7 linked regions of the Sus scrofa genome follow. The protein of the gene in region 6 interacts with the protein of the main gene of each other region in a biochemical or structural test. Links are inferred from orthologs where the notes say so. Each region holds a gene or a part of one and is shown on either strand. Other genes may lie near its edges.

What was found.
Region 1: of the proteins of NEDD4 (region 6) and PPARG, one has a biochemical effect on the other in vitro, tested with the Homo sapiens proteins (2 studies listed by BioGRID). The link is inferred for Sus scrofa from reciprocal best matches to the Homo sapiens genes NEDD4 and PPARG.
Region 2: the proteins of NEDD4 (region 6) and ubiquitin-conjugating enzyme E2 E1 form a complex in vitro, tested with the Homo sapiens proteins (7 studies listed by BioGRID, with this or other methods). The link is inferred for Sus scrofa from reciprocal best matches to the Homo sapiens genes NEDD4 and UBE2E1.
Region 3: the proteins of NEDD4 (region 6) and TRERF1 interact in a test that uses a peptide from one of them, tested with the Homo sapiens proteins (2 studies listed by BioGRID and IntAct, with this or other methods). The link is inferred for Sus scrofa from reciprocal best matches to the Homo sapiens genes NEDD4 and TRERF1.
Region 4: the proteins of NEDD4 (region 6) and TNIK form a complex in vitro, tested with the Homo sapiens proteins (2 studies listed by BioGRID). The link is inferred for Sus scrofa from reciprocal best matches to the Homo sapiens genes NEDD4 and TNIK.
Region 5: the proteins of NEDD4 (region 6) and GABARAP form a complex in vitro, tested with the Homo sapiens proteins (2 studies listed by BioGRID and IntAct). The link is inferred for Sus scrofa from reciprocal best matches to the Homo sapiens genes NEDD4 and GABARAP.
Region 7: the proteins of NEDD4 (region 6) and DGCR14 interact in a test that uses a peptide from one of them, tested with the Homo sapiens proteins (2 studies listed by BioGRID and IntAct, with this or other methods). The link is inferred for Sus scrofa from reciprocal best matches to the Homo sapiens genes NEDD4 and ESS2.

Annotation. Positions count from the first base shown.
Region 1 is NC_010455.5:68,432,224-68,434,447, forward strand, and holds the end of PPARG (peroxisome proliferator-activated receptor gamma), read left to right. Parts: intron 1-1,267; coding exon 1,268-1,515; 3' UTR 1,516-1,724; downstream 1,725-2,224. UniProt on the Homo sapiens protein: Nuclear receptor that binds peroxisome proliferators such as hypolipidemic drugs and fatty acids.
Region 2 is NC_010455.5:10,604,653-10,608,636, reverse strand, and holds the start of ubiquitin-conjugating enzyme E2 E1, read right to left. Parts: upstream 2,801-3,984; 5' UTR 2,613-2,800; intron 1,539-2,612; 5' UTR 1,506-1,538; coding exon 1,354-1,505; intron 1-1,353. UniProt on the Homo sapiens protein: Accepts ubiquitin from the E1 complex and catalyzes its covalent attachment to other proteins. Catalyzes the covalent attachment of ISG15 to other proteins. Mediates the selective degradation of short-lived and abnormal proteins.
Region 3 is NC_010449.5:37,377,300-37,380,799, forward strand, and holds part of TRERF1 (transcriptional-regulating factor 1), read right to left. Parts: intron 3,156-3,500; 5' UTR 2,897-3,155; coding exon 1,457-2,896; intron 1-1,456.
Region 4 is NC_010455.5:109,657,346-109,660,845, forward strand, and holds part of TNIK (TRAF2 and NCK-interacting protein kinase), read right to left. Parts: intron 2,051-3,500; coding exon 1,916-2,050; intron 1-1,915. UniProt on the Homo sapiens protein: Serine/threonine kinase that acts as an essential activator of the Wnt signaling pathway. Recruited to promoters of Wnt target genes and required to activate their expression. May act by phosphorylating TCF4/TCF7L2.
Region 5 is NC_010454.4:52,595,630-52,599,522, reverse strand, and holds GABARAP (gamma-aminobutyric acid receptor-associated protein), read left to right. Parts: upstream 1-1,356; 5' UTR 1,357-1,462; coding exon 1,463-1,552; intron 1,553-2,094; coding exon 2,095-2,173; intron 2,174-2,312; coding exon 2,313-2,431; intron 2,432-2,898; coding exon 2,899-2,964; 3' UTR 2,965-3,393; downstream 3,394-3,893. UniProt on the Homo sapiens protein: Ubiquitin-like modifier that plays a role in intracellular transport of GABA(A) receptors and its interaction with the cytoskeleton.
Region 6 is NC_010443.5:116,063,207-116,066,706, reverse strand, and holds part of NEDD4 (E3 ubiquitin-protein ligase NEDD4), read right to left. Parts: intron 2,866-3,500; coding exon 2,769-2,865; intron 39-2,768; coding exon 1-38. UniProt on the Homo sapiens protein: E3 ubiquitin-protein ligase which accepts ubiquitin from an E2 ubiquitin-conjugating enzyme in the form of a thioester and then directly transfers the ubiquitin to targeted substrates. Specifically ubiquitinates 'Lys-63' in target proteins.
Region 7 is NC_010456.5:50,953,219-50,957,414, forward strand, and holds the start of DGCR14 (protein DGCR14), read right to left. Parts: upstream 2,801-4,196; 5' UTR 2,729-2,800; coding exon 2,594-2,728; intron 921-2,593; coding exon 752-920; intron 661-751; coding exon 559-660; intron 1-558. UniProt on the Homo sapiens protein: May be involved in pre-mRNA splicing.

The sequences.
Region 1 (2,224 bases), on a different chromosome or scaffold from region 6:
CATACTCTAGTAAATACCATACTTGTGGTAAACCATTAGAAGCATTTCCTTCAAGCTTAGGAATAAAATAAGAATGCTTCCCAGTACTGCTACTATTTACCGTATTAGCATTATTAGCCAATGCAGTATGGCAAAAAAAAGAAATGAGAACTATAAACACTAGAAAAAAAGAAATAAATAAAACTTATGAACAAAACAAATAATAAAAATATGATTATTTGCAGATATAATTGTCTATCCAAAAAATAATTTTTTTAACCCATGATACAAACTGTTTGATTTGAGAAGAGTTTAGGAAATTGGAATAGATTCAGTATAATAAAACCTAACTTTTTTCTAAACATCAGCAGGGATACATTAGAAAATGTAATGAAAAAGAAGTATAGAATACTAGAAAGGAAACAAGTAAAAATAAAGAATACTGGAAAGTATTTAAGAAGAAATCTAAAAAGACCTCCATGAAGAAAAAACATTAAAAATTTAAAAGTAATCTAAGCTCACCATTTAAAAGTTCAAATAAGGAAAGTATAAAGAAGAAAGTGAAATCTACCTGCATCCTCACCTGTCGAAAGAGAAGCCTCTGTTAAAACTTGGTCTATCCTTCCAAAAGTATAACAGAATTTGAAAACTATGTCTCATCTCTTTGAAAAATGCATATGCTATGTTAAGCAAAAAGAAGACAAAGTTTATTTTAAAAGTGTGTTGATCCTGCTGTTTAGCACTGGGAACTCTATCTAGTCACTTACGATGGAGCATGATAATGTGAGAAAAAAGAATGTATATGTGTATGTGTGACTAGGTCACCTTGCTGTACAGTAGAAAATTGACACAACACTGTAAACCAGCTAGAATTGAAAAAATTAAAATCATTATAAAAAAAATGAAAGTGTGTTGAAAGTTGTGGTAAGAAAATAAGATTATAAAACATAGACTCATCAGGAAGGAGCAGAAGTTAAAAATGAGATTTCTGAGTGAGTAGAAATAATGCCAGCAGAAGAATCTGCAATCTGGGAAGTGATTGCCATGCCACCACGTTCTGTCATCTGGTCACACAGATTTAGTCCTACGGGAAAAGAATGGTCTTGGAAAAAGCTCTGATAGTCTTGGGTTTTATTCCTTTTTTCTTATATGCAGTTCTTGCCAACTCTCTGCTTACCTCCCCTGCCCCCATCCTATTTTAGAACCAAAACAAAACCAACAAAAAGTCATTGGCCAGAGAATTTTATACCTAAACCTCCTGTTCTGTCTTCCATTTCTGCTCCCCCAGACCGCCCAGGTTTGCTGAATGTGAAGCCCATCGAGGACATTCAAGACAATTTGCTGCAAGCCTTGGAGCTGCAGCTCAAGTTGAACCACCCAGAGTCCTCCCAGCTCTTTGCTAAGCTGCTCCAGAAAATGACAGACCTCAGACAGATTGTGACAGAGCACGTGCAGCTGCTGCAAGTAATAAAGAAGACAGAGACGGACATGAGCCTTCACCCACTCCTACAGGAAATATACAAGGACTTGTACTAGCAAAGAAGTCCACGTTCACCGACAACATTCTCCTTCTTCCAATTGCACTATTATTTTGGGGGAAAAAAAATCTGACACCTAAAAAAAATTACTGTGAAAAAGCGTTTGAAAAAGAAAAGGTTTTAGAATAATAGATCTATTTTATGCATATTGTTTATAAAGATACATTTACAATTTACTTTTAATATTAAAAATTACCACATCATGAACTTGCTGGATGTCTTTGAAGACTGAGTCTGTTGTGTCTCCCATCACCACTCCCCAGGTATTTTTTTCCTTTTATCTCCTCCCTCTTCCTTCCTTTATTTTTCCTTTTTTCTTTCTTACAGTGTGAAACAATGTGAATGGGATTGCTGATCAATTTCCATTTTCAGTCAAGTTTTTTACTCCATTTACAATGTTTCTGAACCTTGTAACTGTTTTAAAAATCACAACTAAGCGAGGAATTTCAGGACTGAAAACTACTCAGAGCATGTGTTTCTTAACCTGGATGGACTAATGTTGACCATGTCCCTAGGCTTACCAAGAATTCAGTCTTCTTCCCCAGCCCCAATCAAGATTTTCACTCACCAACAGCAGCCCTCTAACAGGACACCAAGGCACAGACAGATACCCACTGGAGGGTATTAACTGCTAGATGCTGTAACACAAGTGGTATAAGATGTGGCACCTGCCAAAAAGAACTTATTATTGAATTGAGGGGGGAAAA
Region 2 (3,984 bases), on a different chromosome or scaffold from region 6:
CGCAAGTCATCCCTTCATCCTCCTAGGGTGAGGTCACCAAAACACCGTACCAACCTACCAAATTTCAAGTCAGGGAGAGTAACAGGACAAACTTTCAAACTCTATTTGGCACACTACTCAGTGAAGAGATTTAAAGCATCAAGTTCCCTTTTACTTTACATTGTTTTAATAAAGGTATCTCGGCGTTCCCCTCAGGGGCTCAGCGGAATCATATCTGACTAGCATCCATGAGGACACAGGTCTAATCCCTGGCCTCCTTCAGTTCATTAAGGACCCGCTCCGTTCCCTCCTTCCTGTGGCTATGGTGAATGGACCCCTAGCCTAGGAACCTCCATATGCCAAGGGTGGGGCCCTAAAAAAAAAAAAAGAAAGAACAGTAAAAAGAAAAAAAGAAAGGTATCTCCAGCTAACCCACCATTTGGATTCCTTACTGTCTTTCTGGTTTGCCACCTTAAAGTTTAATGACTCTACAACCGACAGCAGGATTTATAAACTATAGGGGTTCCCAGGAATCTACTATAGATACTTTAAGGGTCATGGGAATCAGAGGACACTACTGAAGGATAATGGAGGTTAAAAAGTAGCTTCTTCCAGAGACATAAGAGGAAGAGAGCAAAGAAAAAGAACCACTGCTTGAATTCAACTTAAAAATCAACAATGAAATACCATGAAAAAAATTTGAGTTTCCCTGAAATTTGGTAAATTGAGGTTCTCAAAGAGAACAACAAGAATCCCCAAAATAGCCTAGAATAGCCATTTTACATCACCTATTGATTCATTCACTTGCCTCAACTCTCTAAATCTAAAAAATCTCTTTAAATTCCATCCGAAAACATCTATCTCTACCCATTAGAGTTTTTACTCTGCCAAAATGAGTTATTTATTCCTCATGCAATCTGTGGAGAAAGCTCTATTCAAAACAGTTCATAAGTGCAACAGGTGAGAAGTAAGACGGTAATAGAATTCATTGTGATAGAACTGTCTGGGTAGGTATTAGTAAGAAGTGGGATGACAGCCTTGAGAAGGGTCACAGATTAGTGATTAACAGGACAAGTAATGTGAAATCAGATTCGGTGGTCACTAATAATAGTAATGAAAATTCTTACAAACTTCAGCAAGATATGGGAGAGGCAAGCCACAACAGCTGCATGTGGACAGTGATTAAAAGAAAAAACAGAAGAAGGCACCGAGAAAAACAATTAGGGCCTCCAAGGCCCCTTTTCTCCTCTTTAAGAACATATAAACCATGAGGAGCGGTTAAGCTACCCTCATGGAGGCAGACCAAATGCAGCAAGAGGCAGTTTGGGAAATAGGAAGCCTGCTGGGGGTGGGGGTGGGGAGGGGGTACCGTACCTCTTGGCGCTGGTGGAGAGGAGTTTGGAGTTTTTGCTCATGCTGACTTTACTCTCCTTCTTCTTGGGGGTGTTTGTTTCTTTCTCGGTTTGCTGGTTGGAGGACGAAGATGAGGAGGAGCTGGTGCTGGCCCTCGAATCGTCATCCGACATAGCGAACCCCCCACCCCACCCCGCAAACAGCCCCTGCAGGGGGAGGGAAACAAAACAGAAACACAAACCATGCAGCCAGTGTAAATAAGGAACTCGGGCGCTGTCAGGAGGGCTTCGGCCGGGGGTGCACCCAGCCGCCCACCGCCCTCCACTCGCTTTTCAAAGTCTTCGGGCCCATCATGGCTTTTGCAAATTGGACGCGGCTTGTTTGTTTATTCGGGGCCCCATGTGGGGGACGTGGTGGGAAAACGGTTGGGAGGGCAGAGAGCAGCCCCTCCCTCGCCCCCCGGGGCTCCCCTCCGGGCGGGGAGAGGAGCAGCCGGCGGGCGGGGGTGCGGGGCGCCCGGCCGGGGCGGGCAGGGAAGGTCCCGGCGGCCAGCCGGCCTCGGGCTGTTTTCGGCGGCTTTCCGGGGGTCGTAGGGGAGCTGGGGGCCAGCCGCCGAGTTTGGCGAGGTCAGGAGGAGAGGAGGGCGGAGAGGAGTAAGAGAGGAAGCCGAAACGGGGGGACGGAGGCGGGCAGCGGGGGCCCGCGTGGGGGAAGGGAGAGGCCGGAGGGGGGTAGGAGCGACGAGGCCCGAGGCCCCCGCCGCGCCCCGACGCCCCTTGCCAGCCAGCCCCCGGACCGTGCGGGTCGGGTCTGCGCGGCCCGGGCGGGGGTCCCAGGCACACGCCCGATCGGCACCCCGGGTGGGGGCGGGGGTGAGGGGGGGACTCGGCCTCCTCTGCTGAGGAATAACAATGAGCCCGTGCGCCCCGGAGGGGTTAATCCCCACGGGCCCCCGCCCCAGGGGAAAACGGGGCTCCCCGCCTCCCCTCCCCCGTTCCCGGCCCCTCGGCGGCCAGCGGGGGGCTCCCGGGGCAGCGCTGACAGTTCGAGCCCTGTGCCCCCCGCCCCCGACGCGGGCGGCCCCGCACCCCACGCGGCCCGGGGCCCTGCCCATCCCCCGCGGGCGGGCCCGGACCCCCGGAGCTCCCTAGCCCCTCTCCGCGCCCCCGGCCCCGTGCCCGGCGGCCCGGGCGGCGCGGGTCGGGGGCGGCGGCGAGGGGTGTCCCCGAAGCCCGGCGGCGCGGCCGGGGGGCGGCAGGCGGCGGGGGGGATCCCCGTACCTCTCTTTGTGTCTGGCTGCTCCGTGCCGCCGCGGCGGCTGCTGCTGCGGCTGCGGCTGGGCCTGGCCACTCGTGTCTCTCTCGCTGGGAGAGAAGCGGAAGTGCAGCAACAGCAACTATTAAACAGGCAATGGCTTCCCCCAGCCACACACGCTCGCACACACACTCCTCCTCCCCCTCCCCCACCCCGTCCGGCCGGTCCCACCCACCCGCGCTCCCCTCCCCGGGCACACCTCCGGGGGGCGCCAGGAGCACCCGGGGACCCCGGGAAGCCCGGCCCCTCCCCGCCCCACCCCCACCCCGGCGCCTCGTCGGGACGCGGGGCCAGGGGGCAAGGGCTGTGAATTTTCTCCGGAGGAGTCTGGGGGACCCCTGGATCCTGGGCTGAAGAGGGGAAGCCGTCCCGAGACTGGGGGCGCTGGGAACTGTCGGGAATAGGGCGACCGCGAGGGGAAGTTCTTACCAAAAGGGCTTTGGGAAAGCGGGGGCAGTTTGGTAAAAAAGATGGTAATCTGGTGCCAGGACTTTGGACTAGTGAATACCGAGGGAACTCCTCCTAAAAAGTGATCAGTTTAAGGGAGAAAGAAAGAAATCCCACAACAGGGTTTCCTTTGGGCTGACCCTGGCTTCCCCCTCTGGCAATTTACCTGCTAGGAGCAGAGGTCGGTTTAGGCACGCCTGTGAGAAAATCCCAAGATTGGAGTTTTCTGCTCAGGCACGTGCAATTTTACAATTTTCGATTCTTCCAGTCACTTTTTATAGAAAGAAGTGTTTTATAAAAGTGATACAGTGGATTTCGTGACAGGTAAAACCAACCAACGTCTAAGAGGCTTTCTAATGTGAGAAATCAATGGGAATAAACCCTCTACTACTGAATTAGACTGGATTTAGAATTTTTGCTGTCGGAAATTATATTAAAAGTTTTGAGGACGGCTGCAGCTTCTTCAGCGACAATATAAATGCTATTCAAATCATAAGATTTTAATAATAATCCCTCTAATTCTTCGGAACTCTTCTTTATTTATCGTGTTTACCAAGATTAATTTTTTTTAGTTAAGCCATCAAATTACAATTCAGTTTCTCACTTATTTGTCATTTCAGTTGCAGGAAACTGAAGAGATATGTGTAGTGTAACATATACTAGGTGTGGTACACTAAGCAACTGCCCAGATTTCCCTGGGCCACTCTAAATTATCCCAAACTGCCATCCTTTTCCATAGCAACAGTGTGGCTTCATTTACCACCGGACAACAGAAGACATAAAGCCAGTGGCATATCCAACTAACCAGGAAAACAAGCATTCTTACCACCCACCTAAACCTCTTCTAGTCCTCAACATGAAACTCCAACTTTTTTAAGAGTCATAAAGTAA
Region 3 (3,500 bases), on a different chromosome or scaffold from region 6:
CGGCCACAAGCCCGCTAGGACTCATTCCCCACCTCCTTCCTTCCTGCTCTCCCGTCCACCCACTCTGTGCACAGACAGGCTCCATTCCCTTGAGAGACAGCATCAAGCTGGGCGACTTCCTGCTGGAATTCCTTCCCAGCCCTGTCCTCTTATTTTCATAATCACAAAGGCTCTCCGTTACCACTGGCCCAAGTCCTAAACACAACAAGGTCATGGGGAGTTCATCTCTGGCCTTCACCCCTCCTCACAGCCCCCCTCCTCTCTATCCTGGTCCTATTCAAGGTGACCTCCCCCACCCCCAGACCCTGTTGTCACATGAGTGTAGCACCTGCAACACGCCAAGGCATGAATGGTGCCCAGCACACCGCAGGGTGGTTTTGTGACCAAATACATCTGGGGAACAATCAAGGGTTAGCAAGGGTCACCTGCAAGCTGAATCTGGCCTACAGACACGGTTTGCCTGGCTAGACTGTTTTTAAATATCCTGACTAGGAGCATCATGAGATGGGGCATCGGGTCTCCTATCTACTGCAGACCTTATCATCTCCTACCAGGCCGTGTGGCTTATTGACTTCACCTGCCTGGATCCTGAGGGCAGCGAAGGTTTTTCATCTCTGCAACTATATGAGGTCTCCCCTTGGGGATGCTCACGGTGCACATGAGCATGTTAAAGACCCTGAGAAGCCCAGCAACACAGCACCCTCTTTTACTTTAAGAAACCCTCCATCCAGAGAACCCATTCCTCTTCCCCAGCAATATCCACTAAACATTCTATGAACTCTTTTTTTTTTTTGCTTTTTAGAGCCACACCTGCAGCATAGGATAAGTTCCCAGGCTAGGGATCAAATTGGAGTTGTAGCTGCCAGCCTACACCACAGCCACAGCAACCCCAGATCTGACCTACACCAAGGCTCATGGCAATGCTGGATCCTTAACCCACTGAGCCGAGGCCAACGATGGAACCCGCATCCTCATGGATCCTAGTCGGGTTCGTTAACTGCTGAGTCACGAAGGGAACTCCTCTATGGAACTCTTATTTGGAGCAACGTCCTTTGAGAAATGCTGTCATGACGAGGTCTCCCTCGCAAAGGGGGAACAGGTGCCCAGGACATTCCCTAAGGATATAGTTCTAAGGGGGCTAGACACCGTTATTAGCTGGTCCTGGTCCCCGAGCACCTGATCAGACCTTGACCATGACATGCATCGTTCGGGACCTGCTATGGTATTTTGGCCCTCTCCTTAGTGAGATTCTAAGCTCTAGGGGTGAAGCCCTGAGTCAAAATGGACTCTGAATTCCAATGGCTTGGCGTAGACAGCGTCTGGTCAATGTTTGTGGAATAAGGCAAGAACGGAAGTGCTGCAGGGGTTGGGAGGGAGGACCTGGCACTGCACAGACTCAGCTGGCTGGCCCAGGAGCACACCCCGATACCAAGGGCAACATCCACGGTGGGAGTACCTGGGGCCACATGGCACTGGGAGACAACTGCTGGTGCTGAGGCCCCATGTTGTTGAGGTGGATGCCACTGGGGGACAGGAGCGGCCGGTGCGGGAGGGCACTGCTGACCCGGTTCAGGTCCGAGCTTGCCGGGTCTCCCATTCCTGTATCTGGAGGCCCCAGGTCCCCGTGGGAGCTCAGCATGGCCTGGGCCTGCCGGTCACTTGGATAAGTCTTGGGCTGACTGTCCTCATGCTGCTGGTGCTGGGGCAGGTGGCTCTGCTGGTACAGAGGGTGGCCGTAGGGCTGCTGAGGCTCCTGGTAGTAGTACTGGGGCATGGAGCCCAGCTGAATCAGCTGGACAGCGTGCGCCTGCTCCGGGGTGTACTGGTGGGGGTCCCTGTGGTAAGAAGGGGGCTGCAAGTGCATCTGTGGCTGCTGCGGCTCTTGCAAATGCTGCATCACGGGTTGGGACTGAAAATACTGAGGTATCTGCATCGAAGCCTGCCGCTGCTGCAGCTGCTGCTGTTGCTGCTGCTGTTGCTGCTGGGGCTGTGACGGGCGAAGCGGCTGCAGGGGCGGCTGCATTTCTTGCATCGACATACGCTGCTGCCCAGTTTGCTGCTGCTGCGGCTGGGGCTGCTGCTGCGGGTAATACTGGTGCTGCTGTATCTGCTGCATGTGCGGGGACAGCATCTGGGGGGCCTGCAGGGACTGTCCTCCTTGCACTGGCATCTGTGCCAGGGGCTGCTGGTAGTCATAATACAGGTGCCCTTGGCTTGGGTGCTGCCCAACCTGAAGAGCTGGTTTGGACAGCCCACCTGTGAAACCAGGGTGAGGCTGCTGGGGCACCTGCTGGTAGCGGGAGGGGACGGCCGGTGCTGGGGGTTCCATGGGCTTCTGGGACAGCAACTGGCGGAGGGCACTGTCCGGGGCTCCGTCCATCACTGACGACTGGGTGTGCAGCACCTGGGCCATATTGTTGACCTGAATCCGCAGGTTTTGGTTGGCAAACACCTGGGTGAAAGAGTCTAGCTTGTGCAGGACACCGCTGGTGAGCTTCTGGGTCCGGATCTCGCTGGCCTGGGAGTAGGTGTACTGGAAGCCATCGGCGGGCTCCGCCTGGGCTGGTGCCCCCCACATCATGTTTGAGTTGGTCAGGTTGCTGCGTAGCTGGACGTGGTTTCCAGGCCCTGCGGGCCCTCCCCACCCTCCCTGCCTTGAGGTATCCACTTGGCCAAGGTTTTTGGAGCCAACAGGCAAGCCTAGACCGTCCCGAGGATCTTGAGGGAAGTGGGGGGAGATGGGTGATGCCTGAGGAGCATCCATGGCAGCGCCAGGGACCGTATTCCCATAGCTGTGGTTCAGCCCGCCGTGGACGCCAAGAGGTGGCTGTTGGTAGAAAAGGTTCTCACCACCATGGGCCACGTGGTTGGTCTTGTACAGTTGCTGATCCCCCATGGTGCCTGCCTTGGTCGTGAACGTCCAGCCACAAAACCATAAAAAACAGGTCAATGACACAAACCCGAAAGGACTGAAACCCTGAGAAGCAGAGAGAGAGCGTCCACACTACTCCACGGCTGACATGTCCGTGCCCGTGGCTGGAGCCAGGTGTTCCTGTTGGCCTGTACCACACATGTGCAGAGCGGGGGGGTTTACATCCTCACCCGGGCTGAGGTAGGGACCAAACGCCACCGTGGTGAAGAGGTGCCGCTCACACCTGCAAGACAAGATGCAGAGGACAGGAAGGGATTTACCTGATACTCTGAAGTGAGCAAGTTTATCTACCACAACCCATTATAGAAATAAATACGACACAGGGGAGTTCCCGTCCTGGCACGGTGGTTAACGAATCCGACTAGGAATCATGAGGTTGCGGGTTCAATCCCTGACCTTGCTCAGTGGGTTAAGGATCCGGCGTTGCCGTGGGCTGTGGTGTAGGTCACAGACGAGGCTCGGATCCCATGTTGCTGTGGCTGTGGTGTAGGCCAGCGGCTACAGCTCCGATTCAACCCCTAGCCTGGGAACCTCCATATGCCGCGAGAGTGGCCCAAGAAATGGCAAA
Region 4 (3,500 bases), on a different chromosome or scaffold from region 6:
ACCCACACCCTAGAGGTTATGCTTCTCTGAAGAACCCTGACTAATACAGATGGATTATAAAACACTGAGTGAAAATAATTTTTCTTTTAGAATACTGGAGGATCCTTTGTCTTCTAATCCTCTAGTGTTGCTGCTGAGTGCTAGGCCACCTAATTCTGGGGCTTCCATATGTAATTGTAAACTGTTTATCTATTTATTTATAATTTGGAAGATTTAAGAATGTTCTCCTTTCCTGGGTACTGAACTATGTGTTGCTATTTTCTTGTGAGTCTTTTTTCATTTTCTTTGAATATTTTAATTTGAGATTTTGAGATTTTAGTTGTAGAAACTTCTTAATTCTCTTTCTTTGATACTTTCTTCCCCTCTCATTTCTTAATTTCCCTTTTTGCAAAAATTCCCATAACTTAGATTTTGAACCATTTGGACTGGATCTTTTATTTTCTTACCTTTTCTCTCCTGTTTCTTTTCATTCTATTCTCTAGGACATCTCTCATCATTATCTTCCAACCGTTCTATTTCATTTTTTATTCCTGCCAATGTATTTTAATTTCCAAGATTTTTTCCTAGTCTCTGAATGACCTCCTCCAACTCTGCTCCATCCCCCCCCCCCTTTTTTTTTAAATAACTCCTATTCTTGGAGTTCCTGTTGTGGCTCAGTGGTAACAAATCCGACTAGTATCCATGAGAATGTGGGTTCGATCCCTGGCCTCGCTCGGTGGGTTAAGGATCTGGCGTTGCTGTGAGCTGTGGTGTAGGTCGCAGACATAGCTCAGATCTGGCATTGCTGTGGCTGTGGTGTAGGCTGGCAGCTACAGCTCTGATTTGATTCCTAGCTTGGGAACTTCCATATGCCATGGGTGCGTCCTTAAAAAGACACACAAAAATAAAATGAATAAAATAAAATAAAATAACCCCTATTCTTCTTTTAAGGAAATGGTATTTCTAAACTCTTAAAGTTTCTTTCTAAAAAACTTTGTTCCCCTCCTTATTATCCTTTCATTCAGAGAATGAAAAAAGAATCACAAGAAAACAGCAACACATACTTTTTGTTTAAGTTTCCTTTCTATTAGTAGATTTCCCTGCTGTCTGATATAGGTGGGCTTATGATTACTAGGCTTCCATTTAAGGTGGTCAGGTGCTTTTATCATGGCATTTCAAATATTACTATCTGAACATATTTTCTTTCTGGCTGTTTAGTTTCTCAAAAGACAATCTTTCAATCTCTTGCTTGGGAGTATAAGTATGGCTATTTTGGGACCTAAACAAGGGAAGAAAGGATGTGTGTGTGTGTGTGTGTGTGTGTGTGTGTAACCTCATAATTCAGGACTCCTCACCCCCAGACTGGCTGTGCCAGCCTTTCATCTTTTGTTGCAGTCAGGGGAGGTGGCCGCCTGAGTTCTGGAGGGTTTGCTGTTCATCAACTTTCCAGCTATCTTCCCTTCTTCAGTCCCACCCTCCATCTCCACCTCTGATACCTCGGGAGCCTCAGGTCCTCAGCTTCTCTGGGTTTTGTTGAGTGACTGGATTGATTTTGATGACTTTCCTCACTGCAGACTTAGAATTCAGCATTTCTTGGTCAGCTGGGTCTATTTCTAGTTAGCTAACTACTCTTGTCCAATTGTGCTGACATCTCTTGCTTGGTTTCTCTTCTGGCCCTTTTATTCCTTCACTGTCATTTTAATGGGTCTCTGAGAAGAAGTTCAAGCTGGGGCTCAGGACTTTATTCTGAAAGCACTCTTTGAACTTCATCAGTCTGACTTTTTTTGAAATAATACAAGTATACTTAAGGTTCTAGAGTGCCTTAAACCAGTCACAAATGCATCAACAATATCTGACAGAAAAAAACAAAACAAAACAAATGAAACTTAACCAAATAATCTGGATTGAGTGAACAGTTCCATGTCTTGAGACTTACCAACTTTGTAATGTATACAGCCTTCCAAGTCCCCAACCGTGATCCAGCCTTGTTTCTTTTCGACTTCTGGGTCATTGTGGAGTATTCTGTTTCTTAACCATGAAAGATAGTAAACACGTAGCTTATTCTTCTTTCCTGTTGAAATAACAGAGCTTTAATTTTCAAGGCCCTGAGACAGCTCTTTCCCTCAGTCCTTCCCCAGCTCCATTATATTTTATTAACTTACTTTTATTAACAATTATGTGTGTGTACATTTGAAGGCACAAAGAACCAGTATCCCCAGCATCAAAGTAATGTCTCTGCCAGGACTGACGATTAAAACAGTCCAAGTGTTTTGGACCAGTCACTATTTTATAAAGTGTCTTTACCTTCAGCTGCTCTTACTCTCTCCTCCCAATGCAAAGGGCAGTGTCTGCTGAACTCAGCAAGACCCAATACTCTAACGGGATGGTCGATTAGCATTCCAATACAGTCTAGTTAGATCTACAAGGAAGGTGTGGACAACTGGATATTTCAGCATACTTGTCATGTCTGCCTTTCCCTCACCTTCTGACCAACAGCATATGTTAATGGAGAGCCTCTGTTACCCAACAAAAAGAAAAAGGAATTTTGTAAGGAGACAAGAGAAACAAATTCAGTGAAGGCAATCTGAGTGCAGAAAATATCCTTGGACACGTTTATCGTGCTGAGATTACTGAAAGGCATATTTAAAAAAATAAGAAAGGAGAAAAAGTTGTATACTTGGTTGGAGTTGCCATTTTGGCTCAGTGGGTTAAGAACCCAACATAGTATCCATGAGGATGCGAGTCTGATCCCTGGCCTTGCTTAGTGGGTTAAGGATCCGGCATTGCTGAAAGCTGCAGGGTGGGTCACAGATGCAGCTCGGATCTCAGGGGGCTGTGGCTGTGGCGTAGGCCGGCAGCTGCAGCTCCATTTCGACCCTTAGCCTGGGAACCTCCATGTGTCAGAGGTGTGGCTATTAAAAAGAAAGATGTGTACTTGGGGGGAAAAAATGTAAAAATTCCTTTGGTAAAAGATTGCAAAGTGATCCTGGAGTAAAGAATTCTTAGTATGAGGAGTTCTCATCATGGCACAGTGGAAACGAATCCAACTAGGAACCATGAGGTTGCAGGTTCGATCCCTGGCCTCAGTGGGTTAAAGATCTGGCATTGCTGTGAGCTGTGGTGTAGGTCGCAGATGTGGCTCGGATCCTGCATTGCTATGGCTGTGGCGTAGGCCGGAGGCTGCAGCTCTGCTTGGACCCCTAGCCTGGGAACCTCCATATGCCACAGGTGAGGCCTTAAAAAGAAAAAGCAAAAACAAAAACAAAAACAAAAAAAAAAGGAAGAAAAGAATTCTTAGTATGATATGAAAACATCTTAAAAACATTAAGGAGTAAGTAAGGAGAAAAACTTAATATACGATCTAAGATTGTACAAATACCAGATAAGAACATGTCCCTTGGGGTGGCTTTTACCACGTGATCAGTAATTCAGGCCTGTGGGGTATACTTCTTGGGTCCTTATTTTCCTTTGATTTCTCTTAGGCATCAAAACATGTTTTATAAGTTGCAGATGTAATATAC
Region 5 (3,893 bases), on a different chromosome or scaffold from region 6:
GAGACAGGACTGGCCAGAGTGAGCGAAAGACACTCGGTAATCCGGGAGGCTCAAAGAGAAGCCAAGCCAGCTTTGTTGTGATTTGATTTTTTAAAAACTCTTGTACAAAACTGATCTAATTCTTCACTCCAAGGGCTGGGCTGTGGGTGGGAAACTGGGATTTTGGGCCACTGGATTTTCCCCAAACTTGTCCCTTCCCTTCCTTTTCCATCTTCCCTTCTTCCTAGAGTCCCTCAGACCTGTAACGAGCTTTCTCTTTTTTTCTTTCGTCTACTTAAACCATGCATTATAACTTTGAAACCAAAGCTGCCCTAGGTCCTTCTCTGGGTTTGGGGGAAATGAAGGGGCTTTGTTCACACCCACCCTGGCTCTGGGCAGAGGGTAAGGAGCAAGCTGTTGACCTGAGGGGAGGGTGTTGGCCACCCTGGCGGGGAGGGTCTTAGTGGCAGGATGATACCCTGGCCGGGAGCGAAAGAACAGCCCTGTGTCCAGAGGGAATGTGAGCTTCCGAACAGTAACACAGAAAAGTTTGAAAGGAAAAGAGAACTGGACGCTGGGAGAGGCCTGGCTTCGTCTGCGGGCCTGACTTAGACTAGCTGAGCGGGCGCAGCCCCCCGGGGGCGGAGGGGGGGGTGTCCCAGGCCCCTGGCGCCCCACCTCCCTCCCCTTGGCCCTGCTCCCCCAGCCGCAGCCGGCTCTACTTCCTCGCACTCGCCACGTGACGCCCCGCCCTTCTCTGCGATCACATGATCTCTCCGTGAGCCGCGAAGACTGTGTTCCTCCGCGCTGACGTAGTCCCTACCTTTCAGACCTCTCCAGTCCCTATTCGTCCACTCATTCCTGGAACCTAAGCATTCTGGAAACATAAGCGTCTTTCCAAACATAGGTCTCGTTTCTGCCCTCCTCTGTTTCCAAAGACCGCTTGCTCCATTGGGGTACTACTTTGTTTTGGTGTCAACCGCCGCCTTCAGCGTACCAGCACCTTTCCTGAATAGCTGTCCTTGTAATTATCTGCTTTTTTACCTCTGTTACTTCTGAAAAGCACTTTCGGAGAACCAAGTCTCAAATTATGATTACCATCTCCAAGCCCTTTTCATCCTGTGGAAAAAGTCAGGAAATGGGTTTTCAGTTATTTTCTATGATAGCAAAAAGCCAGCCACCTTTCCTACGTCGCCTGCGTAGCCCGTAAATTGATTCCAAAGCGATTACGCTGATTGCGTGAGGGGGGAGGTCAGTAGGTGGCGCTACGCTAGTGGCGTTGGGGCCACTGAGCTAGGAGCGTAACATAGCGAGTGGGGCGGCCTCTGACGGCCGGGGGCGGGGTTGGTGAATAGGGAAGTGGCGCAAGGTCCGGGATCGCTCCGCTGAATCCGCCCGCGCGTCGCCGCCGTCGCCGCCGCCCCCCATCCCGGCCCCCCCGGGTTCCCTCAGCCCAGCCCGGTCCAACCCGGTTCCCGGGAGGATGAAGTTCGTGTATAAAGAAGAGCATCCGTTCGAGAAGCGTCGCTCTGAGGGCGAGAAGATCCGAAAGAAATACCCGGACCGGGTGCCGGTGAGGACAGTAGCCAGGGCCGAGGGCGCGGGGCGCTGGCGCTGACGCCACAGCCTGGGCTTGAGTCCGAGACCCGCAGCGCGGGCATCAGGCTGCCAGCTGTGGCAGGGTTGGGAATGAGCCCGAAACTGCTGTCTGTGGGACTGGAGGTGAAAGGAGTGGGGTAGCATTAGAACTGGGGGGCTAGGGGATGTAGGCTTAAGGGGATGTAGGCGCGAGAGCTAGACCTTGGATTCGTGTAGGGCGTTTGACATTCCGAGCTTCACAGGGGGTGCTTGAGATTGAAGCTCTAGTCGGCCCAGACAAGACATGCCTGTTTGATTAAAATCATTGTTTGTTATGACGTCCTATTCAGGGATTCTGGAGGTTTAGGTGAGTTTGAGTCAGTGGGATCAGAATCCCTGCTCAGGACTGCGCCGCGTGTTCAGAGACAAAGAGAAATGAGTCTGGGGTAGGTAGGGATGCTAGGAATGTTGAGTTCTTGACAGGTGGAGCTGTGGGCCTGTATACCTAATGTCTCCTAATTTTCGTCTCTTTATCAGGTGATAGTAGAAAAGGCTCCCAAAGCTCGGATAGGAGACCTAGATAAAAAGAAATACCTGGTGCCTTCTGATCTCACAGGTGAGAACCTGACCCAGTAGCCAGGTTTGCTTCCTGGGGGGTGGGAATGTGGTCTCTGCTGGAGGAGGCTCCACATAGCAGCTGTTCTTTTGAAGGCGTTTGTGACCTCAGACTTTCTCAGACCTTGTTTCTTTGGCAGTTGGTCAGTTCTACTTCTTGATCCGGAAGCGAATTCATCTCCGAGCTGAGGATGCCTTGTTTTTCTTTGTCAACAATGTCATTCCACCCACCAGTGCCACGATGGGTCAGCTGTACCAGGTATAGTGTCTGGGAAGTAGTGGAGGCTTTGGAGAGGAGTTGGAAGCACTTGAGAGGCAGGAAGTTTTAAGTCAGCAGGTCTTGGACTAGTTGGCTTACTTAGCTCTCAGTTTTAAATTTGGCTTTAAAATCTCCTTATAGTTCTGGGTTGGGGATTTAGACAGGGCAGTGGGAGTAGAGAGAAAAGAGAACAGTGAGTTGGAGCAACTGTTGTGATCTGGACTTTCCCCAGGCCCCTCCCCATTTCGAGGCAGCAGAGAACAATGTGTGATTTTTATGCCTAGGACTGCTGCTAGGATAATACTGCTCAGCCGCTAGGGTCTGGAGCAAGTGAGAGGGAGAGTCAAAGCACTGGTTTTGGGGGTCTTCAAAAAGAATGTTTTTGGAAGAATGTGCCTGGGTGGTGGTTGGTTCAAGTAATTAAAGCCCAGGTGCCTGAGCACTGTCATTTTCTGCTTTCACCCCAGGAACACCATGAAGAAGACTTCTTTCTGTACATTGCCTACAGTGATGAAAGTGTCTATGGTCTGTGAAGCTGCTGCCCTTAAGGTCGGGGGTCCCATTCTTCAGACAGAGAGAGGTGGCCCACCTTCCTCGACCTGTCCTTCCTTGAGGCTCAAACACCACCTCCTTTCTTCAGGACCTACACTTCCTAATGTTTGAGACTCTCCTCCAGCCCTTCTTAAAACAAGGGTTAATGGGGGAGATGGCCTCCAGTACTCCTTTCCTTCCCTTTCTCTACCACCTTCCCACTCAGCTTTAGACTTCTTGATTGTCCATCTCTGTCACATCCAGTGGTCGTTTTGGTTTCTGTTTCCTTTCTAACTGCCCAGGGGGCTCAGGATCCCAACAATCCCTTATTTTCACTACCTTCTTTTTGGGGGGTAGATGGAAGGGACTGAATTGTGGCGGGGAAGGTAGGATACACATCAATAAAGAGGAAACCACCAAGCTGAACTGGATTTTGCTTTGTGTTGCTGCCCTCTGCCTTTTGTTCTCTACTCAATGGGGGAAAGGGAGGTTGGAGGGATAGTAATGTATTTTTATTTCTTCTCCTTATGTTGGGCTTTTCCTTGTGCAGAGAAAGTGTGCTTTTGTTGTGATGGATGGAATACTCTGAGTATCATTTCATGAAAGTTGTGTTATGTACCCGTGTATAGATAGGGGCTTGAGGTTAAAAAAAGTTGGTTTTCTACTGTGGGTTCCAGTGGAGAAAGTTTGAAAGTACCTGCTTTGGATATCCCATCCAAGTTTGTCATAACCTTTTGAATCAAGGAAGGGTTTTTTCCAAGTGTGGAGCTGGTAAAAGAACTCTGTCCTCAGGTATATGTCCCTTAGCCAGACTCTGTGCCGGCGTGCGGGTTCCAGTAGAGTGGAATACAAGTTAGGGAGAAGACTGGGAGGAGGGAGCCATTATTACCACGAGAACTTCATCTCCCAGCAGCCAAGTCTCCGTGTAGCC
Region 6 (3,500 bases):
CCACTGTTCAACTGTAAATGACTGTGGTCCATTTGAGCCTATAAAGAAGAAGAAGAGTTGCTTTGGTTTCATTTACTCTTAGCAGAAACTCCTGGGCATTTCACAACTCACTTTTGCTCGTATAGAACTTAAACACACAGAGACCTCGTCTAGCTTCTTTAAACTCAAAACAAGTAATGCTGTCCTGGGCCTGACAACTTTAGTGTCCAGCCACGAAAACTCCTTTTCCATCAGTTTTTTTGTGACCACCGCATCACTCTGCCCCTGGGGGCGTGTCTGATGGAGGTTTTGCTGTTTTCTAGCCTTGCATTTCCATATACCACCTCTGTCACAGGTACACAGATAATGAGCATTTTCTTTCTTTTTTGAGTCCCACTGAATATAGCTTTAATTTTTTCTGATTATATGATTTCACTGCAAAAAAATTAAAGCAACAGAGAAAAATAATGAAAGATGTAAAAAAATCACCTGAAATTCCACTATTAAATCTGAGTAAATAGTCTGTTATTAATTTTTTTGTGCACGTGCAGAGATACAGAATTTTAATTGCATAATCACGTTATACATGCTACATTTTTCTCCTATTATGGATGTTCTTTTTTTTTTTTTTTTTTCACTTTCTTTTTGGGCTCCCCCGAGGCATATGAAGTTCCAGGGCCAGGGAATCAGATCCAAGCTGCAGGTGCGACCAGCTCCACAGCTGCGGTAACACTGGATCCTTTAACCCACTGTGCTGGAAGGGGGATTGAACCTGCGTCCTGGTGCTAGAGATGCCGCTAATCCCGTTACACCACAGCAGGAACTCCTCATTATGGACATGCTTAGAAACTTTTTTTTTTTCTTTGGAGTTTTCACTAAGCTCTTCCATCTCCAGTTTTCAACATCCTCTAACCATCCAGGTCATCAATGCTGACCACCTCCTGAGGCCCCTTCTGTACTTGTCTCCATGTCTTAGAATCATATCCAAGTATGTGTGTGTGTGTATAACTGTCAGAAGCAGCACTAAAAATACTTAATGTTTTCCATGTTACTGTTTTCTCTAAAAGCACCGCTCTTCACACATCACCCATCATAATTATGTTCACAGTTAAAATGTCAGTACTTTTATCACTGTGTTTTCAATAACATGGAATTGTATATATTTCCTTGCCTCTCATTTCTCTCACCTAAACCATCCACTTGGAACACTCCCTGTAGGTCAACCAATACAAACCCAAGATACTTTGTGTTGGCTAGAAAATACTGTAATGTAATGCTAACATTCTGAAGCAACTTCTTTTTTTGTAAATACATAATCATGTGAATTTATATTCTAACACTAATAACTCTGGATCTATGTGTGGGCTATGTACTCTAATTTGCAAAAAATTCAGGAAATCAGCTGATAGTGGTGGGCCTGGGCTGCATAAAAGAGGGCAGTGGAGTTAGAGGTGAAAGGGGTGTTGATCCTGCCTTCATTTTCTCTACTAACTGGCTAGAGCATAGAAGAGAAAGCATGGGGAGTCAGCTGAAACCACTGCAAAGACAAATCCTACCAGGCAGGGAAAAGGTGCACTGGTGAGGAGCAAAGCTCCTGTCTCATCCTTTTCACCAGGAGTGGTTACTCTAGGTGAAGTGGCAGCTGCTTGACAGATTCTGCAAACAAATATAAATGAAGCTTAACAGAAAAACCAGATTTGCCAAGGAGGAGACAGTGCGGCTCCGATCTTGGCTAAAAGTTCTTGGAAAGGTTTGTTTGGTTTTTTTTGGTATCTTTAAAGCCAGGCAAATGTCCTTCCAATAAACAGAATATTAACTGGTCTGAGAAAAGTTGCTGTGATCTACATCAGAAACAGTGCTTTTTTTGTTTTTAACAAAACAAGGCCTTAATGAGATTCTCCACCCTCCAACTACTACCACCACCCTCAAACACAGATTCCACGATCAATTAACTTCTGGAAACTTTCACAGTAAGTATTCTGAGCAAGAACAAACCAAAGAAACCTATTTAACTTTGTCTAGTCCATTATCTCCTCCAAATAGGGGTCGAATTGGAGCTGCAGCTGTGGGATCAAACCCTCGTCCATGGATACTAGTCAGGTCCTTTAATCACTGAGCCATGATGGGAACTCCGAATGCTAGCAGTTTTTAGTTGTACACTGATTAACACCCTGTGGAACTTTACATGCTGCCTGCCCTAAACCATCACTCTACAGGCAATCTGTACTGGATGCAAAGGGGGAATCAAATTTAAAATTCAAGCATGGGGAGTTCCCGTCATGGCGCAGTGGAAATGAATCTGACTAGGAACCATGAGGTTGGGACTTCAATCCCTGGCCTCGCTCAGTGGGTTAAGGATCTGGTGTTGCTGTGAGCTGTGGTGTAGGTTGCAGACGTGGCTTGGGTCCTGCATCATTGTGGCTGTGGCACAGGCCAGCAGCTGCAACTCCAAATGGACCCCTAGCCTGGGAACCTCCATATGCTGTGGGTGCAGCCCTAAAAAGCAAAATAAATAAATAAATTAAATAAAATTCAAGCATGGAAAGAAACTCAAAGTCATTTCATGTTTCCAGTTTTCTTCTTTGCTGTCTGATTAGAAGGTGTATGTATATTTTGGCCTTCTTCAGTGTATCTAATTATATCATTTAAAGACCTTAATTTTTTTTCTATTATGCTAAGTGTCGATATAAATGATAGAGGCTATCACAGTAAAATGAAGGAGACTATTTAGCCATGAAAAAGACAACTGTCATAAGCTCCATTTGTAATAATCTATGGACCATTCTCACCATACAGTTCAGCAAATCCATTCATAGGCACGCGGGATGTACCAGTGACAAACTGAAGTAACCTTATTCGTTTTTCTGAATCCATCATTAAAACAGCCTGCATAAAATAAAGATAAAAACCCCATTTAGGAATATCATTGCAAAAAAGGGTAACAAAACTATCCTGAAAAACATGCTATCAGAATTTAGTTAGAATGTTAATGATCATTTATTAAATTTGCATGTTTCTTTAAGTTCAAGTTGTGTTTATGGGTAGTTTACAAAGTTCTTGAGACTTCATTTCCAAGGCAAATGGTCATTCTTTAGGATGGGATTAGAGCCTTAATAAAGTGATAGCACTTCCTCTCAGATGTGACTCATGGCTTTTAAAAAATTATTTATTGATATTACTGAGCAGCAAACACATTTCTCTATAAGATGGAAAATTGGATTTAAAGGAGCCTTGAGAGTCCCTTCTCCTGTCTCATGGAGAATGCAGTACAGGTTATTCCAAGTTCTCTTGAAGGGTCCCTTCTTCTTCTTCTTTTTTTTTTTTTTTTGTCTTTTCTAGTGCCACACCTGCAGCATATGGAGGTTCCCAGGCTAGGGGTCCAGTCGGAGCTGTAGCTGCCAACCTACACCAGAGCCACAGCAACTTGGGATCTGAGCTGCGTCTGTGACCTACACCATGGCTCATGGCAACGCCAGATACTTAACCCACTGAGCGAGGCCAGGGATCCAACCTGAAACCTC
Region 7 (4,196 bases), on a different chromosome or scaffold from region 6:
AGCCCTCCAAGGCCCATAAGCCCACCAACAGGGCTGACACAGTGAGAAGGCCACCAAGAGGGAACTCAAGGTTCCCATTCGTGGTGGGGAGTGGAGGTGGGGCAGAGGCTCAGAGGATTCCCTACTTTTGGAGCGGGACCCAGATCTTCTGCTTCCTAGACCGTAGCTCCCAAACCCTATGGGTGCCACTAAGGCAAAGAGACCCTCAAGGACAAGGTGTGGTCTGCCTGTGGACACCACTGGGCCCCCAAGGTGAAGGCCCCAAGCAAAAAGAACACACATGGAGTTCCCATCGTGGCGCAGTGGTTAACGAATCCAACTAGGAACCATGAGGTTGCAGGTTCGATCCCTGCCCTTGCTCAGTGGGTTAACAATCCAGCATTGCCATGAGCTGTGGTGTGGGTCGCAGATGCAGCTTGGATTGCACGTTGCTGTGGCTCTGGTGTAGGCTGGCAGCTACAGCTCCGATTGGACCGCTAGCCTGGGAACCTCCATATGCCGAGGGAGCGGCCCAAGAAATAGCAAAAAGACAAAAAAAAAAAAAGAACACACACTCACCAGTGCCATCCTCCAGGCCGCGGCCCCGGCCCCGGGCCTTACTGCCTACCACTCCACTGCCTGTGTGCACCTCAGGGGTTTCAAACGTGGCTGGAGTCACATCTGGGGAAAGTCGGGGTGGGAATAAAGAAAGGGGCCCTGAGGCAACAGTTCAGTGGGAGTCCCCTCCCCGCCCCCAAGGGAGTCCTCTTACAGGGCGGTGGAGGCTCTCTAGACATCTTGCCCAGGGCAGAGCCAAACTTGATGGCGATCTGGCGCATGCGCTCCAAGTCTCCATTCTCCTCTGCCTCCAAGTACTCCTTCTGCGCCTGCAGCTTCTCCACGTCAGGGAAGAAATCCCTCTGGATGACCGTCTGGAGGCCCTGAAGGAGTGATCAGAACACAAGTCAGAGGTTCCATCTGCCTTTCAGCCCTTAAAGTGCATACTGAGGCTCCCAAGTTCTGTCCAGCCCAATGATCCCCAAAGCTTGGGGACACTTTTAAAGCTTTCTCTCTCCCTCACTAACCTATCATTCTTGTTTATTTATTTGTTTGCTTTTTAGTGCCGCACCTGAGGCACACAGAAGTTCCCAGGCTAGGGGTCGAATCGGAGCTACAGCTGCTGGCCTATGCCTCAGGCACAGCAACACAGGATCCAAGCCAAGTCTGCAACCTACACCACAACTCACAGCAACACCAGACCCTCGACCCCCTGAGCAAGACCAGGGCTCAAATCTACATCATCATGGATACTAGTGGGATTCGTTTCTGCTTCACGACAAGGGAAACTCTCTAACCCATCATTCTTGCTCTCCTTTCTTTTTTTTTTTTTTTTTTTTTTTTTTTTTTTTTTGTCTTTTTGCTATTTCTTGGGCCGCTCCCAAGGCATATGGAGGTTCCCAGGCTAGGGGTCGAATCGGAGCTGTAGCTGCCAGCCTACGCCAGAGCCACAGCAATTCAGGACCCGAGCCACGTCTGCAACCTACATCACAGCTCAAGGCAACGCCGGATCGTTAACCCACTGAGCAAGGGCAGGGATCGAACCCGCAACCTCATGATTCCTAGTCGGATTCGTTAACCACTGCGCCACGACGGGAACTCCTTCGCTCTCCTTTCTTAACTCCACCTCCACATCAGCCTGATCAATGTGCGTGTTGCCACCTTCATTCCACCAAAACCACTACTTCCTTTTTTGTTTGTTTGTTTTGTTTTTTAGGGCTGAACCCATGGGCATGTGGAGGTTCCCAGCCGGGGGTCCAATGGGAGCTGTAGCTGCTGGCCTGCACCACAGCAACACAGGATCTGAGCCTCATCTGCAACCTACACCACAGCTCACAGCAACACCAGATCCTTAAACCACTAAGCAAGGCCGGGGATAGAACCTGCATGAGGATGCTAGTCAGATTTGTTAACTTCTGAGCCAGGTCGGGAACTCCCACACCCTCTATTCTGATCTGAACCCTTTACCAGGATGACTTCAGCCAGTCACCCCACCACCAGCACTGGTTGAGATTCCCACCTCTGCAGCTCCAGACAGACTTGATCCTGAGCTATAAGTCCGTGCATCCAGGTGTTCCCTAAAGCCACCTGCCTCCGCATTGCAGAGGACTCCCCTACACTTAACTGACTTCCTCCAAACCCTGTGCCAGCTTCTCCTGCGTTGTTTTCGGCAGGATCAAGGCCTACTTCAAAGGTGGGAGGCCCACCGACGCAGCGATGCCACGATGCCACCGTTTCTAGAACCCTCAGCCTTAGCACTTGTTATTATCGCCCTCCAGGAAGTTCTGTCACCATCCTCCTAAATTCCTAATGACCGTTTAATAAAAACTTGTTTCTCTGACGCCCACCCGCAACCTCGTACAGACACACTCAACCCCCACTGCCCCCTGACAGCAGGGACACCTCGCTCTACACGCTGTTTGTTTGGCTCTCAGACCGTCCACGCTCGACAGCAGAGGCTCGGACTGCTCCACCGCCGCGAGGAGACGAGAGTGTCGCGGGACAGGGGGAACGCGGGACGGGCCCAGACGTCACTGTCGTCCGCGCCGAGTCCTACCTCGATGTACTCCTCCTCGTCCAGCACCCGCTGCCTGCTTGTTGCAGGCCCGGCCTCCCCGGCTGCGCGCTTCCTCCGAGGCCGGGACGCGGCAGGAAGCATCAGGGTCCGGGCCGGCGGCCCAGGCGTCTCCATCACTATCCCAGCACCGCCCCGGCGGCGCAGAGGCGACACCGGCGGAGGTGGGGCGCGCCAGCTGCGCAGGCGCCTGAAACTGCTGACCAATCGGAGAGCCGCGTGTTTCCGAAGACCGGCCGGCGCTCCTTACTGACGTCACCGGGACCCTTTGGGTTCGTATTCCTCGCCCCGCCCCGCTCTGTTCATGCCTTGTGGGTCGTGGGTGCCAGGGGGCGCTGCGGTGGTGAGACTAAAGGGCGTGTCGTTTCCGCTAATTGTGAAAAATTCCAGCGCCGAATATTTGGAAGCCTTGGAATTCCAATTTCTCGCAAATAAGCACTACATATACTTCTATTTTTTTAACAAAGACACACTCTTCAGAAAACTTCGTTATATACGCGTTTCAAAGTTTTTATTCAATCTTTATGCGAGAAATGTCTAGTCCCTAAATGCTACAGTTGGCTTCCAAGAAGACAGCTAATTCTTATCGAAGTGGACCAGAAAATTGCCTGAGCATTTTCCCGAACCATCATTTCTTCCAAAAGGAGGTTGTGAATTACACCAAACAAGTTCTGCCCCAGAATGATTCAGTATAGGCAGTTATTCTGTCATGGAGTAGTGTCTCCATGGTATTGGTTCCTGCCCTCATAAAGCTGGAGTCAAATGCAGACGACAGACACTAGTCAGATCATCCCACAAACAGGCATAAAATGGCACGGTCAAGTGCAAGAGAGCAGAATCCTACCTGGGGGGCAGTCAGGGGAAGTTTCCAGGGAAGGGAGTGGTTGCAGGCATTGACCAGGTGGAGGGGGAGAGCTTGTTTGAAGGCCAGAGGGAGAAGACCTTTGCATACACAGAGTGCAAGGAACAGTGGGGTAGGAGCTGATGCCAGAGGGGCAGGGCCAGGCTGCAGGTAAGTCAAGAGTCATGGGTCAAGGCAACCTTGTTTTGTCTTTGTTCTGGGAGCAGTGGAAGCCCTTGGAGTGCTGTAGGCAGGAGGGGGACAGGTTCGGACTTGTACCCTGGCTTTTACGGAGAATGAATCACAGAGGAATCAGAGTGATGCAGGCAGACAAGCTGGAGGAGGCTGCAGTGGTCAAGGTGAGAGATGACAGTGGTTTTCACCAGGTTGGAGCCTGGAAAGAAGATGGATTCTGGGATTGTTTTTGGAGAAAATCAACCTGGAACCTGGAAAGAAGATGGATTCTGGGATTGTTTTTGGAGAAAATCAACCTGCTGTTGGCCTGGGTTTGGTGGGTGAGGGAGAGGAGGGGTCAAGGTGCTTGCCAACTCTCTGTTTTATGCACCTGGGATGCACAGAGGAAGAGGCTGCTATGGACAAGGGGACTTAGAGGTGCTGTGGGCTTCCAGGTGGAGTCAAGGGACAGCTAGACATAACTCTTTAGCACAGGAGAGAGGCCTGGGCTGGGATGTAAACGTGAGACAGAGATAGGAACCGAGCCTGAGAGTGGAGGTGATAAACTGA